2 linked regions of the Lonchura striata genome follow. The protein of the gene in region 1 purifies or fractionates together with the protein of each later gene. This does not show direct contact. Links are inferred from orthologs where the notes say so. Each region holds a gene or a part of one and is shown on either strand. Other genes may lie near its edges.

Region 1 (7,116 bases):
AGAGGTGACAGTGACAATGACCCCGTGTCCCTGAGGTGACAGTGACATTGTCCCCATGTCCCAGAGGTGACAGTGACCATGTCCCCATGTCCCCGAGGTGACAGTGACAATGTCCCCGTGCCGCAGGCGCTGACGGTGACGATGACCAAGGCCGCGGGCAGTTTCCGCGCCCGGGGCTGGCTGTCCCCAAGGTGACAGTGACCATGTCCCCATGTCCCAGAGGTGACAGTGACAATGACCCCGTGTCCCTGAGGTGACAGTGACCATGTCCCCATGTCCCAGAGGTGACAGTGACAATGACCCCGTGTCCCCGAGGTGACAATGACCATGTCCCCATGTCCCCGAGGTGACAGTGACATTGTCCCCGTGCCGCAGGCGCTGACGGTGACGATGACCAAGGCCGCGGGCAGTTTCCGCGCCCGGGGCGGGCTGTCCCCAAGGTGACAGTGACCATGTCCCCATGTCCCCGAGGTGACAGTGACAATGACCCCATGTCCCCGAGGTGACAGTGACATTGTCCCCGTGCCACAGGCGCTGACGGTGACGATGACCAAGGCCGCGGGCAGTTTCCGCGCCCGGGGCTGGCTGTCCCCGCGCGTGGCGGCCGCGGTGGCCTCGGGGACGAGGACGGTTCTGTACCGGGGTCCCCTGCGCCCGCTCTGCGCCCTCGTCCCCAACAACGTCAACGCCATGGCGGCCGCGGCCCTGGCGGCGCCGCGCCTCGGCTTCGACGGCGTCACCGCCTGCCTGGTGGCCGACCCCAGGTGGGCACCCGGGGACGGGGGGGGACACCGGGGTGGCACCTGTGGCACCTTCTGTGGCACTTGGGTGGCACCTGTGGCACCCCCGTGGCACCTCCTGTGTCACCGCTGTCACCTCCTGTGGCACCCGCTGTGGCACCTGTGTTGTGTGTGGCACCTGTGTCACCTTCTATGGCACCCGGGTGGCACCTGTGGCACCTTCTGTGGCACCTGTGGCACCTGTCACCTGGCTGTGGCACCTCCTGTGGCACCTGGGTGGCGCCTGTGTTGTGTGTGGCACCTGTGTCACCTTCTACGGCACCTGAGTGGCACTCGGGTGGCACCTGTGTCACCTCCTGTGGCACCTGGGTGGCACTTGGGTGGCACCTGTGTCACCTCCTGTGTCACCTGTGGCACCCCCTGTGACACCTGTGGCACCTGGGTTGCGTGTGGCTCCTCTGTCACCTCCTGTGGCACCTGAGTGGCACCTGTGTCACCTCCTGTGGCACCTGTGTCACCTCCTGTGTCACCCGTGTGGCACCTGTTTCACCTCCTGTGGCACCTGGGTGGCACCTGTCACCTGGCTGTGGCACCTCCTGTGGCACCACGTGGCACCTGTGTTGTGTGTGGCACCTGTGTCACCTTCTATGGCACCTGAGTGGCACCTGGGTGGCACCTGTGGCACCTCCTGTGTCACCGCTGTCACCTCCTGTGGCACCCGCTGTGGCGCCTGTGTTGTGTGTGGAACCTGTGTCACCTTCTATGGCACCTGGGTGGCACTTGGGTGGTGCCTGTGTCACCTCCTGTGGCACCTGGGTGGCACCTGTGGCACCCCCTGTGACACCTGTGGCACCTGGGTTGCATGTGGCTCCTCTGTCACCTCCTGTGGCACCTGGGTGGCACCTGTGTCACCTCCTGTGGCACCTGTGTCACCTCCTGTGGCACCTGGGTGGCACCTGTGTCACCTCCTGTGGCACCTGTGTCACCTGGGTGGCACCTGTGGCATCCCCTGTGTCACCTGTGTCGTGTGTGGCACCTCCTGTGGCATGTGGGTGGCACCTGTGGCACCTCCTGTGTGACGTGTGTCACCTCCTGTGACACCTGGATCACCTGAGTGGCACTTGGGTGGCACCTGTGTCACCTCCTGTGGCACCTGAGTGGCACATGGGTGGCACCTGTGCTGTGTGTGTCACCTCCCTGTCCTTCCAGTGCCACCCCCAATGTCCCCCCAGTGTCCCCTCAGTGTCCCTGTCCCTGCAGTGTCCCTGTCCTTGTCCCCGCAGTGTCCCCAATGTCCCCTCAGTGTCACTGTCACTGTCCCCAGTGTCCCCTCAGTGTCCCCAATGTCCCCTCAGTGTCCCTGTCCCTGTCCCCGCAGTGTCCCCGACTGCCACCTCGTCACTGTGGATGTCCCCTCAGTGTCCCTGTCCCTGTCCCTGCAGTGTCCCCAATGTCCCCTCAGTGTCCCCAATGTCCCCTCAGTGTCACTGTCCCTGCAGTGTCCCTGTCCTTGTCCCCCCAGTGTCCCCAATGTCCCCTCAGTGTCACTGTCACTGTCCCCAATGTCCCCTCAGTGTCCCCAATGTCCCCTCAATGTCCCTGTCCCTGTCCCCGCAGTGTCCCCAATGTCCCCTCAGTGTCCCTGTCCCTGTCCCCGCAGTGTCCCCGACTGCCACCTCGTCACCGTGGATGTCCCCTCAGTGTCCCCAATGTCCCCTCAGTGTCCCTGTCCTTGTCCCCGCAGTGTCCCCAATGTCCCCTCAGTGTCCCCAATGTCCCCTCAATGTCCCTGTCCCTGTTCCCGCAGTGTCCCCAATGTCCCCTCAGTGTCACTGTCACTGTCCCCAGTGTCCCCTCAGTGTCTCCAATGTCCCCAATGTCCCCTCAGTGTCCCTGTCCTTGTCCCCTCAGTGTCCCCAATGTCCCCTCAGTGTCCCTGTCCTTGTCCCCGCAGTGTCCCCAATGTCCCCTCAGTGTCCCCTCAGTGTCCCTGTCCCTGTCCCCGCAGTGTCCCCAATGTCCCCTCAGTGTCCCCAGTGTCCCCTCAGTGTCCCTGTCCCTGTCCCCGCAGTGTCCCCAATGTCCCCTCAGTGTCCCCAGTGTCCCCTCAGTGTCCCTGTCCCTGTCCCCGCAGTGTCCCCAATGTCCCCTCAGTGTCCCTGTCTCCGCAGTGTCCCCGACTGCCACCTCGTCACCGTGGATGTCCCCTCAGGGTCCCCAATGTCCCTGTCCCTGTCCCTGTCGTATCCCCAATGTCCCCTCAGTGTCCCCAATGTCCCCTCAGTGTCCCTGTCCCTGTCCCCGCAGTGTCCCTGTCACTGTCCCAAATGTCCCTGTCATTGTCCCCGCAGTGTCCCCGACTGCCACCTCGTCACCGTGGATGTCACCGCTGTCCCTGTCCCTGTCCCCTCAGTGTCCCCAATGTCCCCTCAATGTCCCCAATGTCCCCTCCGTGTCCCTGTCATTGTCCCCACAGTGTCCCCGACTGCCACCTCGTCACTGTGGATGTCCCCGCAGTGTCCCCAATGTCCCCTCAGTGTCACTGTCACTGTCCCCAATGTCCCCAATGTCCCCTCAATGTCCCTGTCCCTGTCCCCGCAGTGTCCCCAATGTCCCTGTCCCTGTCCCCACAGTGTCCCCAATGTCCCTGTCCCTGCAGTGTCCCCAATGTCCCCTCAGTGTCCCCAATGTCCCTGTCATTGTCCCCGCAGTGTCCCCGACTGCCACCTCGTCACCGTGGATGTCACCGCTGTCCCCGAGGGTGGCCGCGCCCTCACCGTCACCAGCACCCGCCGCAACCCCGCCGAGCCCGGCCACGTCACGGGCAGCGCCACCCGCCACAGCTTCTGGAGCAGCGTGCTGGGTGTGGCCCTGTCCCCTGTGCCACCCCTGTGCCACCCCGGTGCCACCCCGGTGTCACCCCGGTGTCACCTCGGTGCCACCCGCGCCACCCCTCCACGTGTCGCTCATTTATCCCCTCCCCGCAGCCTGCACCGGGCACGGCGGCTGCCTCAAGCTCTGCTGAGGAAGGAGCGAGAGCGGAAACCCAGCGGGGACGCCGCGGGGACAAATTTTGTTGTCGCCAAATTTTGGGGACAATAAAATAAAATAAAAAAACAAACAACCCGCCCGAGGCTGGCGGCGCCGGCGCCCTTCTTGTAATGGCGGCGGGGGGAAAGCCGCGATCTGATTGGTGGAAACGCTGAGGGAGGGAGGGATTCTGGCTGCTGATTGGTGGGTGCTGGCGCGCGAAGCGTTAAGGGAGGAAGGTCAAGGCGCTGATTGGATGGAGGAGGATGCGGCCGCGCTCTGATTGGTCGGCGCGGCGCGGGGCATGACGGGAGTTGTAGTTCCGGCCCGCCATGGCGCCGGAGGAGGCGCCGGGTGAGGAGCGGGGGAGAGGCCGGGGCTGAATTTTGGGGGGTCCCGGGGGGTCCTGGGGGGCTCGAGGAGGTTTTGGGGGGGCAGGAGGGGATTTGGGGGGGGAGGGAAGTGGAGGCCGCGGGAGGGGGGAAGGGCTGGGGAGGCCTGGGGGGGTTTGGGGGATTTTGGGAGGATTTTGGGGGATTTGGGGGTCCTGAGGAGATTTTGGGGGGGGGGGGTCAGGGTGGTCTTGGGGTTTTGGGGGTGCCAGGAATTTTGGGAGGGGTCCTGAGGGGGATTTGGGGGTCCCGGGGTGATTTTGGGGGGGATTAGAAGGAATTTGGGGGACCTGGGAGGGATTTTGGGGGGTCCTGGGGGGAATTTGGGGGTGCCAGGAATTTGGGGAGGGGTCCTGGAGGTGATTTGAGGGGAAATTGGGGGGGTCTCAGGGGTTTGGGGGGGATTTGGGGCGTATTTGATGGATTTTGGGGACCTTTGGGTGTGTCAGGAATTTGGGGAGGGGTCCTGGGGGGATTTGGAGGAATTTTGGGGGAATTTGGGGAGGGGTCTCGGGGTTATTTGAGAGAGTTTTGAGGGGAATTTGAGGAGGAGTCTTGGGGGAAATTTGGGGAGGGGTCTCAGTGATTTGGGGGAATTTGGGGAGGGGTCTCGGGGTGATTTGAGAGAATTTTGGGGGGAATTTGAGGGAATTTGGGGAGGGGGTCTCAGGGTGAATTGGGATAATTTGGGGAGGGGTCTTGGGGGATTTGGAGAGAATTTTGGGGGGAATTTGGGGAGGGGTCTCAGGGGTGATTTGGGGAGGGGTCTCAGGGTGACTTGAGGGAATTTTGGGGGAATTTGGGAGAATTTGGGGAGGGGTCTCAGGGTGATTTGGGGAGGGGTCTCAGGGTGATTCGGGGTAATTTGGGGAGGGGTCTCTGGGGGAATTTCAGGAGATTTGGGGAGGGGTCTCAGGGTAATTTGGGGAGGGGTCTCAGGGTGATTTGGGGGAATTTTGGGGGGAATTTTGGGGAATTTGGGGAGGGGTCCCTGGGGGAATTTCAGGAGATTTGGGGAGGGGTCTTGGGGTGATTCAGGGTAATTTGGGGAGGGGTCTCGGGGTGATTCGGGGTAATTTGAGGAGGGGTCTCAGGGGTGATTTGAGAGAATTTGGGGAGGGGTCTCGTGGGTTATTTGAGAGAATTTTGGGGGGAATTTGGGGAGGGGTCTCAGGTTGATTTGAGAGGATTTTGGGGGGAATTTGAGGGAATTTGGGGAGGGGTCTCAGGGTGATTTGGGGGAATTTTGGGGAGTTTGGGGAGGGGTCCTGGGGGGAATTTCAGGAGATTTGGGGAGGGGTCTTGGGGTAATTTGAGGAGGGGTCTCAGGGTGACTTGGGGAGGGGTCTCGGGGGTAATTTGGGGAGGGGTCTCCCCAAACTCGGGGGTCCCACGCTCACCCTTTCCCCCCCCCCCCCCCCTCCCTGCAGCCCCCCAGGCGGATTTGGGGGGGCTCTCCCCGGATTTGGGGGGGGTCTCCCCGGATTTGGGGGGGGTCTCCCCAGATTTGGGGGCGGTCTTCTCGGATTTGGGGGGGGTCCTGGCCGCATTTGGGTCTGGGGTCCCGGCGGAGCCGTACCACGAGCGGCAGCGCCGGCAGCTCTGCGCCCTGCACGCCCTCAACAACCTCCTGCAGCGGCCCTGGCTCAGCCAGGCCTCGGCCGACCGCATCTGCCAGCGGTGAGACCCCAGACCCAATTCGGGGAACCGCCCCCGGACCCCAGACCCAATTCGGGGAGGGGTCTCAGGGGGGTTTGGGGCGGTTTTGGGGGGGTTTGGGGCTGCTTTGAGGGCGCTGGGAAGGGTTCCTGAATTTGGGGAGGGGTCCCAAGGGTGTGGGGAGGAATCTTAGTGGGGTTTTCTGAATTTGGGGAGGGGTCTCAGGGGGTTTTAGGGGGGTTTGGGGCTGCTTTGAGGGCACTGGGAAGGTTTCCTCAATTTGGGGAGGGGTCTCAGGAGGGTTCCTGAATTTGGGGAGGGGTCTCAGGGGAGTTCCCGAATTTGGGGAGGGGTCCCATGGGGGTTCCCGAATTTGGGGAGGGGTCCCAAGGGTGTGGGGAGGGGTCTTGGTGGGGTTTTCTGAATTTGGGGAGGGGTCTCAGGGGGTTTTGGGGGGTTTTGGGGCTGCTTTGAGGGCACTGGGAAGGGTTCCTGAATTTGGGGAGGGGTCTCAAGGGTGTGGGGAAAGGTCTTGGTGGCGTTCCCTGAATTTGGGGAGGGGTCTCTGGGCTGTTCATTAATTAGGGGAGGGGTCTTTGCTAATTTGGGGAGGGGTCTCTGGGCTGTTCATTAATTAGGGGAGGGGTCTTTGCTAATTTGGGGAGGGGTCTGTGGGTTGTTCGTTAATTAGGGGAGGGGTCTTTGCTAATTTGGGGAGGGGTCTGTGGGGGTTCATTAATTAGGGGAGGGGTCTTTGTTAATTTGGGGAGGGGTCTGTGGGGGTTCATTAAATAGGGGAGGGGTCTTTGCTAATTTGGGGAGGGGTCTCTGGGCTGTTCATTAATTAGGGGAGGGGTCTTTGCTAATTTGGGGAGGGGTCTGTGGGTTGTTCGTTAATTAGGGGAGGGGTCTTTGCTAATTTGGGGAGGGGTCTGTGGGGGTTCATTAATTAGGGGAGGGGTCTTTGTTAATTTGGGGAGGGGTCTGTGGGGGTTCATTAATTAGGGGAGGGGTCTTTGCTAATTTGGGGAGGGGTCTCTGGGCTGTTCATTAATTAGGGGAGGGGTCTTTGCTAATTTGGGGAGGGGTCTGTAGGGGTTCATTAATTAGGGGAGGGGTCTGTGGGGGTTCATTAATTAGGGGAGGGGTCTTTGCTAATTTGGGGAGGGGTCTGTGGGGGTTCATTAATTAGGGGAGGGGTCTTTGCTAATTTGGGGAGGGGTCTCTGGGCTGTTCATTAATTTGGGGAGGGGTCTTTGGTAATTTGGGGAGGGGTCTCTGGGCTGTTCATTAAT
Region 2 (7,391 bases), on another chromosome or scaffold:
TCTGGGGACAACCGGGGCCTTTGCCTGCAGGTGGCACCACGGGCTAAAATATCCCCCAAACCCCTAAAATTTGGGTAGCCCCAAATTTTGGAGTGCTCCTGGGTGGGGTCCCACTGAAGCATCCAAAGTTTCCCACAGCGCTGGTGCTTTCTTTTGGGGGGAAAAATGCTGCTTTTGGAAAAGATCCTTTTCTTATTTTGCTTGAGAGCCCTGCAGCTGCAGGGTTTGGTTATCCTGCAAACCAAACCCTGAAATTTAGGTGGAATTGTTCAGTGAAAATTGCATTTTTCCAGTGTTTGTTATTTTTTATTTTTGGGCTGACCCTGCTCCAGAGTCAGAGCTGGATGGTCCGGGATGAAACAAAATATTTCTCTTTATCTACTTTTTTTGGGGCTATTTATTTTCTTTCTATATATTTTATTTCATAGCTTTCTTGGTGAAAATCCCAGTTCTAACAAAACTATTCCTACAAGATTTGCCATTTTGAAACAAAACCACCAAAATATTTTCATTTTGGAAGCAGCAGGAGATGTGCTGACGACATCACATCCCCTCCCAAAAAACCCCACCTGGATTTTGTGCAGGGGGAGAAAATGTTGAAGGAGTTTGCCAAAATCCAGCAAATTTCCCTGAAATATCCTTAGGGAAAAGCTCCAGCATTCCCATGGGAGGTGCAGGAGAACGAAGTGCAGAGGGTCACACATCTCCCAACACCTCCAGAGGTGAAAAACGGGGAAATTTCAGGAAATTTGGGTAATATTCCCTGTGGATTCACTGATTCCCTGTGTTTTCACTGAACCACTGATCCCTAGGGAGAAATGTTGGCATTTTCCACCCATCTGGTGGAATTAAAAGGATGAAATCTCAGCCGGACCAGAAAACAAACCTGGAAAATGCAGGTTTTTCCTCCTGCTCTACCTTAATTCTGTTTGTGGGAAAAACCAAGCTCTGCTGTGGATCTACGGCTCTCGAGGAGGATTTGGAATTTTGCTTTTCCAAAGCTGTTTTCTCCCAAACTTCCAGGCAGAACCATCCCAGCCTGGTGTCAGGGAGCGAGGGAGGGAGGCAGCCCCGAGCTGCCTGCTTCTCACAGAGCCCCAATTGTTGGAGCCTCCCTCCCCAAACTTCCCCTCCTGATTTCTGTTGTTTTCCCAGATAAATCACCAGGCACGGCCTGGATCCCTGGGATAACCTCTCTGATGCCTCAGGGTTGAGCTTTTATATTTTTGACATTCTGAGCTGCTTTGGTGTGTGGGTCTGGGCTTCACATGATGGGATGCTGAGCTCTGTGCGCAGAGCAGGGACACAAAACAATTCCTGCTCCAGCTGGGCACCAAGGACAAATGATCCAAACCTCAGCCCAGGAGCACAAACACCGTGGGCTGGAGAGAGAAAAACAAGCAGGATGGGACTGATGGGCTGGAGCTGGAATGGGAATGAACTCCAAGGTGCCAATGGAGCAGAACTGATCCCAGGGAGAGCCCCGGGAGCGCTCGTGCATTTTGGGGCCAGTTTGGGTCATTCTGGGTTCATTTTGGGACCATTTTGGTTCATTTTGGGACCATTTTGGGTCATCTTGGGTTCATTTTGGGACCATTTTGGTTAATTTGGGTGCAGCCCTGGCTGGGCTCTGGTGCTGCCCAGGGTGGATCCATGGAGGAGATCCTTTAATAAATCCCTAATTTATTCTTTAGTCCAACCTCTGCTCTAGGTCAGGTTCTCAAGGCATCAGCCCTGGCATTTATGCCAAATCAACACCAGTTTTGGGGCTGCTGGCAGCAGCACAGGCTGTTTTTCCCAGGAAAACACCATCCCTGCCAGTCTCCTGATTTTAGGAATATCCTTTAAAAGGTGAAGAAGAGCCCACCTGGAACCAGGTGGGCTCAGGGTCAGGATTTTGCCCTGGTGAAGGATGCCCAAAACAACCTGGGATCTTTTTGTGGGATCTGAGATGATAAATTCCAGAGGATTTCTTTATCTCCAGGTTGGCACAAGCTCCTCTCAGAGACGAGAACTCAGGGTCAGGATTTTGCATTTATAAGTGATTTGCAAAACAATCTGATGGGTTTTTTGTGGGATCTGTGGCACCAGGAAATGATAAATTTTAAAGGATTTCTCCATCCTCAGGTCGACACAATCTCCTTCCTTCAGCACAGGAGGATCAGGGTCAGGGTTTTGCCTTTGGTCAAAACAACCTGGTGGGTTTTTGTTTTGGGTTTTTTATTTTTTTTTCCCCCTGGGATCTGTGGTACCAGGAAATGATGAATTCTGGAGGATTTCTCCATCTTCAGGTTGACACAAGCTCCTCCCTCAGCAGAGGAGGGGATTTTGCCTTTGTCAAAACAACCTGGTGGGTTTTTGTTTTGTGTTTTTGTTGGGGTTTTTTTGTTTTGTTTTGGGGGGTTTTTTTGGTGGTTTTTTTTTTTGTTGTTGTTGTTTTTTGTTTTGGTTTGGGTTTTTTGTTGGTTTTTTTGTTGTTGTTTTTTGTGGGATCTGTGGCACCAGGAAATGATAAATTTTAAAGGATTTCTCCCATCTCCAGGGCAGCAGAAGCTCCTCTCCTCCGCAGAGGAGGATCAGGGTCAGAATTGAGAATTAATTAAGCTCTCACCCACCAGCAGCTCCAAGTTCTTCTCTCAGAGCTGGTATCAATCAATAACAATAATAAAAGCACTCCAGGAGAGGCACATTCCCAAAGAACTGGATTGAGAAACTTCAATCTTCAATTAATCTTCAATTAAAACTTCAATCATTAACTGTAAATCACAAACGTTGTGGTTTAGCACTGGTTTGTGCCTCTGTGGCCAGTCCCAGGTTTTTGGATGGCACGTTCCCCATGCCAGGATGTTGTGGTTCCTCATTCCCAAGGGTTTTCCTGGCCTTGGTTGGGATTGATGGTCTGGGAGGGTTATTCCGACCCTTTGTCTCTGAAATTCTGTAATTTCAGCCAAATTTTCCCATTGGGATGGCTTTAGTGGGACATCTTCCTTGCTGGTGGCTCTTGGGGACATGGATCAGTGGTGGCCTTGCAGTGGTTGGGCTTCATTGCCTGGGAGGCTTTTCCAACCCCAATGGCTCCGAAATTCCGTAATTTTGGTCCAGGCGTGGGGAGATGCCTGGCCAGACCGTGGCACCGTGGGGACACCGAGTCCTGTGACGGATTGAGTCCAGAGAAGGGACAAAGGAGCTGGGGAAGGGAATGGAGCCCGGGAGGGGCTGAGGGAGCTGGGAAGGGAATGGAGCCCGGGAGGGGCCGAGGGAGCTGGGAAGGGAATGGAGCCCGGGAGGGGCCGAGGGAGCTGGGAAGGGAATGGAGCCCGGGAGGGGCCGAGGGAGCTGGGAAGGGAATGGAGCCCAGGAGGGGCCGAGGGAGCTGGGAAGGGAATGGAGAATCTCTGAGGGAGCTGGGAAGGGAATGGAGCCCGGGAGGGGCCGAGGGAGCTGGGAAGGGAATGGAGCCCAGGAGGGGCTGAGGGAGCTGGGAAGGGAATGGAGCCCGGGAGGGGCCGAGGGAGCTGGGAAGGGAATGGAGCCCGGGAGGGGCCGAGGGAGCTGGGAAGGGAATGGAGCCCGGGAGCACCTGAGGGAGCTGGGAAGGGAATGGAGCCCAGGAGGGGCTGAGGGAGCTGGGAAGGGAATGGAGCCCAGGAGGGGCCGAGGGAGCTGGGAAGGGAATGGAGCCCGGGAGGGGCCGAGGGAGCTGGGAAGGGAATGGAGCCCGGGAGCACCTGAGGGAGCTGGGAAGGGAATGGAGCCCGGGAGCACCTGAGGGAGCTGGGAAGGGGCTGAGCCTGGAGCCAAGGAGGCTCAGGGGGACCTTGTGGCTCTGCACAAGTCCCTGCCAGGAGGGGACAGCCGGGGGGTCGGGCTGTGCTCCAGGGAACAGGGACAGGAGGAGAGGGAACGGCCTCAGGCTGGGCCAGGGCAGCCTCAGGGGGCATTTTGGGGAAATTCCTTCATGGAAAGGGTTGTCAGGCCTTGGCAGGGGCTGCCCAGGGAGGTTTGGAGCTCCCATCCCTGGAGGTATCCCAGAAATTCCTGGAGGTGGCACTCAGGGCTCTGAGCTGGGGACACAAGGTGGGCATCGGGCACAGCTTGGTCTCGATGGTCCTGAAGGTGTTTTACAACCTCAATGCCTCTGCGATTCTGTGCCCAGCGGCCGAAACACTGAAAATCCACCAAAACGTGAAAAAAACCCAAACAACCAAATAACGCCGTTCACGGCCCCTCGCGGACTACAACTCCCGCCAACCCCCGCGCGGCCGCGCTGCGGGGGGCGCCGGGAGTTGTAGTCGCGACGGGGCGGAGCAGGCCCGGCAGGACTACACGTCCCGGCATGCCGCGCGGCGGCGAGGCGGCGGGGCGGGGCGGGGCGGGGCGGGGCCGGCAGCCCTGAGGGAGCCGGAGCCGGAGCGGCGCCGGAGCAGCTCGGCGGCGATGTCGGTGCAGGTGGCGGTGGCCGCGCCCGCCGTGGAGCTGAAGGAGCTGGGCGGCCCCATGGACAAGGCGGCGGGGCCGCCGTGCGAGCCTGCGGGCGCTCACGCAGCGGGGCACGGCGTGGCGGCGGCGGCGCCCGCCTGCCCCGTGCCGGGCGGCGAGCGTGAGGCGGCCCCGGCCCCCTGCGCCGAGCGGCCTCCGGGCAGCGGCTGCCCCGGGCTGTCCTCGGCCGCCGCCAAGGCGCCGCAAGCCTCGGCCATGAAGAGGAGCGACCCGCACCACCCCCAGCACCGGCACCGCGACGGCGGCGAGAGCGGCGGCGCCGCGGCCGAGGCGCTGGTGAGCCCCGACGGCACCGTCAGCGAGGCGCCGCGCACCGTCAAGAAGGTAACGGGGGCGGCGGCGGCGCGGAGCCCTCCCGGCGGGCCCGGGCCGTGGGGTGCCGCTGTGGGGGTGCCCCGGGCTCGGGGGGTGTCGGTGAGCCGGGGGTGCTCCGCGGCTCTGCTTGCGTTTTGGGGAGGTGTTGTGCCGTGCCTGGCGGCGCGTTTGCGTCTCGTCCCTCCCCGCTGCCGGGTTTGTGCACTGGGGACGTGGGGGGTGACGCTGGGTGCCCTTGCACCCCATTTCTGCAGCCCCAGATGACACTGGGTGCCCTTGCACCCCATTTCTGCAGCCCCAGATGACGCTGGGTGCCCTTGCACCCCATTTCTGCAGCCCCAGATGACGCTGGGTGCCCTTGCACCCCATTTCTGAACCCCCAGGTGACGCTGGGTGCCCTTACACCCATTTCTGCACCCCCAGGTGTCTCTGGGTGCCCTTACACCCCATTTCTGCACCCCCAGGTGACACTGGGTGCGTTTACACCCCATTTTTGCCCCCCCAGGTGACTCTGGGTGCCCTTACACCCCATTTCTGCACCCCCAGGTGACTCTGGGTGCCCTTACACCCCATTTCTGCACCCCCAGGTGTCTCTGGGTGCCCTTACACCCCATTTCTGCACCCCCAGGTGACTCTGGGTGCCCTTACACCCCATTTCTGCACCCCCAGGTGACTCTGGGTGCCCTTACACCCATTTCTGCACCCCCAGGTGTCACTGGGTGCCCTTACACCCATTTCGGCACCCCCAGGTGTCTCTGGGTGCCCTTACACCCCATTTCTGCACCCCCAGGTGTCTCTGGGTGCCCTTACACCCCATTTCTGCACCCCCAGGTGTCTCTGGGTGCCCTTACACCCCATTTCTGCACCCCCAGGTGTCTCTGGGTGCCCTTACACCCCACACCTGCAGCCCCAGGTGACTCTGGATGGGTTTGCACCCCATTTCTGCACCCCCAGGTGTCTCTGGGTGCCCTTACACCCCATTTCTGCACCCCCAGGTGACACTGGGTGCCCTTACACCCCATTTCGGCACCCCCAGGTGACACTGGGTGCCCTTACACCCCATTTCTGCACCCCCAGGTGACACTGGGTGCCCTTACACCCCATTTCGGCACCCCCAGGTGACACTGGGTGCCCTTACACCCCATTTCTGCACCCCCAGGTGTCTCTGGGTGCCCTTACACCCCCTTTCTGCACCCCCAGGTGTCTCTGGGTGCCCTTACACCCCCTTTCTGCACCCCCAGGTGTCTCTGGGTGCCCTTACACCCCACACCTGCAGCCCCAGGTGACTCTGGATGGGTTTGCACCCCATTTCTGCACCCCCAGGTGTCTCTGGGTGCCCTTACACCCCATTTCTGCACCCCCAGGTGACGTTGGGTGCCCTTACACCCCACACCTGCAGCCCCAGGTGACTCTGGATGGGTTTGCACCCCATTTCTGCACCCCCAGGTGTCTCTGGGTGCGTTTACACCCCATTTCTGCACCTCCAGGTGACACTGGGTGCCCTTACACCCATTTCTGCACCCCCAGGTGTCTCTGGATGGGTTTGCACCCCATTTCTGCACCCCCAGGTGTCTCTGGGTGCCCTTACACCCCATTTCTGCACCCCCAGGTGACACTGGGTGCGTTTACACCCCATTTCTGCCCCCCCAGGTGACTCTGGGTGCCCTTACACCCCATTTCTGCACCCCCAGGTGTCTCTGGATGGGTTTGCACCCCATTTCTGCACCCCCAGGTGACTCTGGGTGCCCTTACACCCCATTTCTGCACCCCCAGGTGTCTCTGGGTGCCCTTACACCCCATTTCTGCACCCCCAGGTGTCTCTGGATGGGTTTGCACCCCATTTCTGCACCCCCAGGTGACACTGGGTGCCCTTACACCCCATTTCTGCACCCCCAGGTGTCTCTGGGTGCCCTTACACCCATTTCTGCAGCCCCAGGTGACACTGGGTGCCCTTACACCCCATTTCTGCCCCCCCAGGTGACTCTGGGTGCCCTTACACCCCATTTCTGCACCCCCAGGTGTCTCTGGATGGGTTTGCACCCCATTTCTGCACCCCCAGGTGACTCTGGGTGCCCTTACACCCCATTTCTGCACCCCCAGGTGTCTCTGGGTGCCCTTACACCCCATTTCTGCACCCCCAGGTGTCTCTGGATGGGTTTGCACCCCATTTCTGCACCCCCAGGTGACACTGGGTGCCCTTACACCCCATTTCTGCACCCCCAGGTGTCTCTGGGTGCCCTTACACCCATTTCTGCAGCCCCAGGGTGTGTGCAGGTTCACATCAGGTTCACGTTCCCAGGGTTATCTGGGGAATGTGGGGAAGATAAAAACGTCCCAGGTGCCACCGGTGACGTTGGCACGGGGGGCAGGGCCAGGTGTGCCCACGGCTGGGTGTGGGGTGTGTCGGGGGTGGATTTTGGGGTGCCCCTCTCCCGGGGGTGCCGTGGCCTTGCAGCTGCAGCCCAGGAGTGTGAGGAGCTGTGGATCCTGGCGAGTTCCTCCGTGTGTCTGCAGCTCCTCAGGTGGACTCCGCTGCTCCCTGGAGCAGGGGGGTTGTTGTACCTGCTGTGCGTGCA

The links. The genes of interacting proteins can lie anywhere in the genome.
Region 2: the proteins of JOSD2 (region 1) and AHCYL2 purify together in Homo sapiens (affinity purification with mass spectrometry; 3 studies listed by BioGRID and IntAct, counting the BioPlex papers as one, with this or other methods). This does not show direct contact. The link is inferred for Lonchura striata from reciprocal best matches to the Homo sapiens genes JOSD2 and AHCYL2.

Annotation. Positions count from the first base shown.
Region 1 is NC_134640.1:1,544,762-1,551,877, reverse strand, and holds the start of JOSD2 (josephin-2), read left to right. Parts: upstream 1-4,102; coding exon 4,103-4,124; intron 4,125-5,592; coding exon 5,593-5,842; intron 5,843-7,116. Other genes in the region: ASPDH (aspartate dehydrogenase domain-containing protein), read left to right, coding at 532-764, 3,452-3,603, 3,728-3,765. UniProt on the Homo sapiens protein: Cleaves 'Lys-63'-linked poly-ubiquitin chains, and with lesser efficiency 'Lys-48'-linked poly-ubiquitin chains (in vitro). May act as a deubiquitinating enzyme.
Region 2 is NC_134607.1:72,297,831-72,305,221, reverse strand, and holds the start of AHCYL2 (adenosylhomocysteinase 3), read left to right. Parts: upstream 1-4,379; 5' UTR 4,380-4,437; coding exon 4,438-4,824; intron 4,825-7,391. UniProt on the Homo sapiens protein: May regulate the electrogenic sodium/bicarbonate cotransporter SLC4A4 activity and Mg(2+)-sensitivity. On the contrary of its homolog AHCYL1, does not regulate ITPR1 sensitivity to inositol 1,4,5-trisphosphate.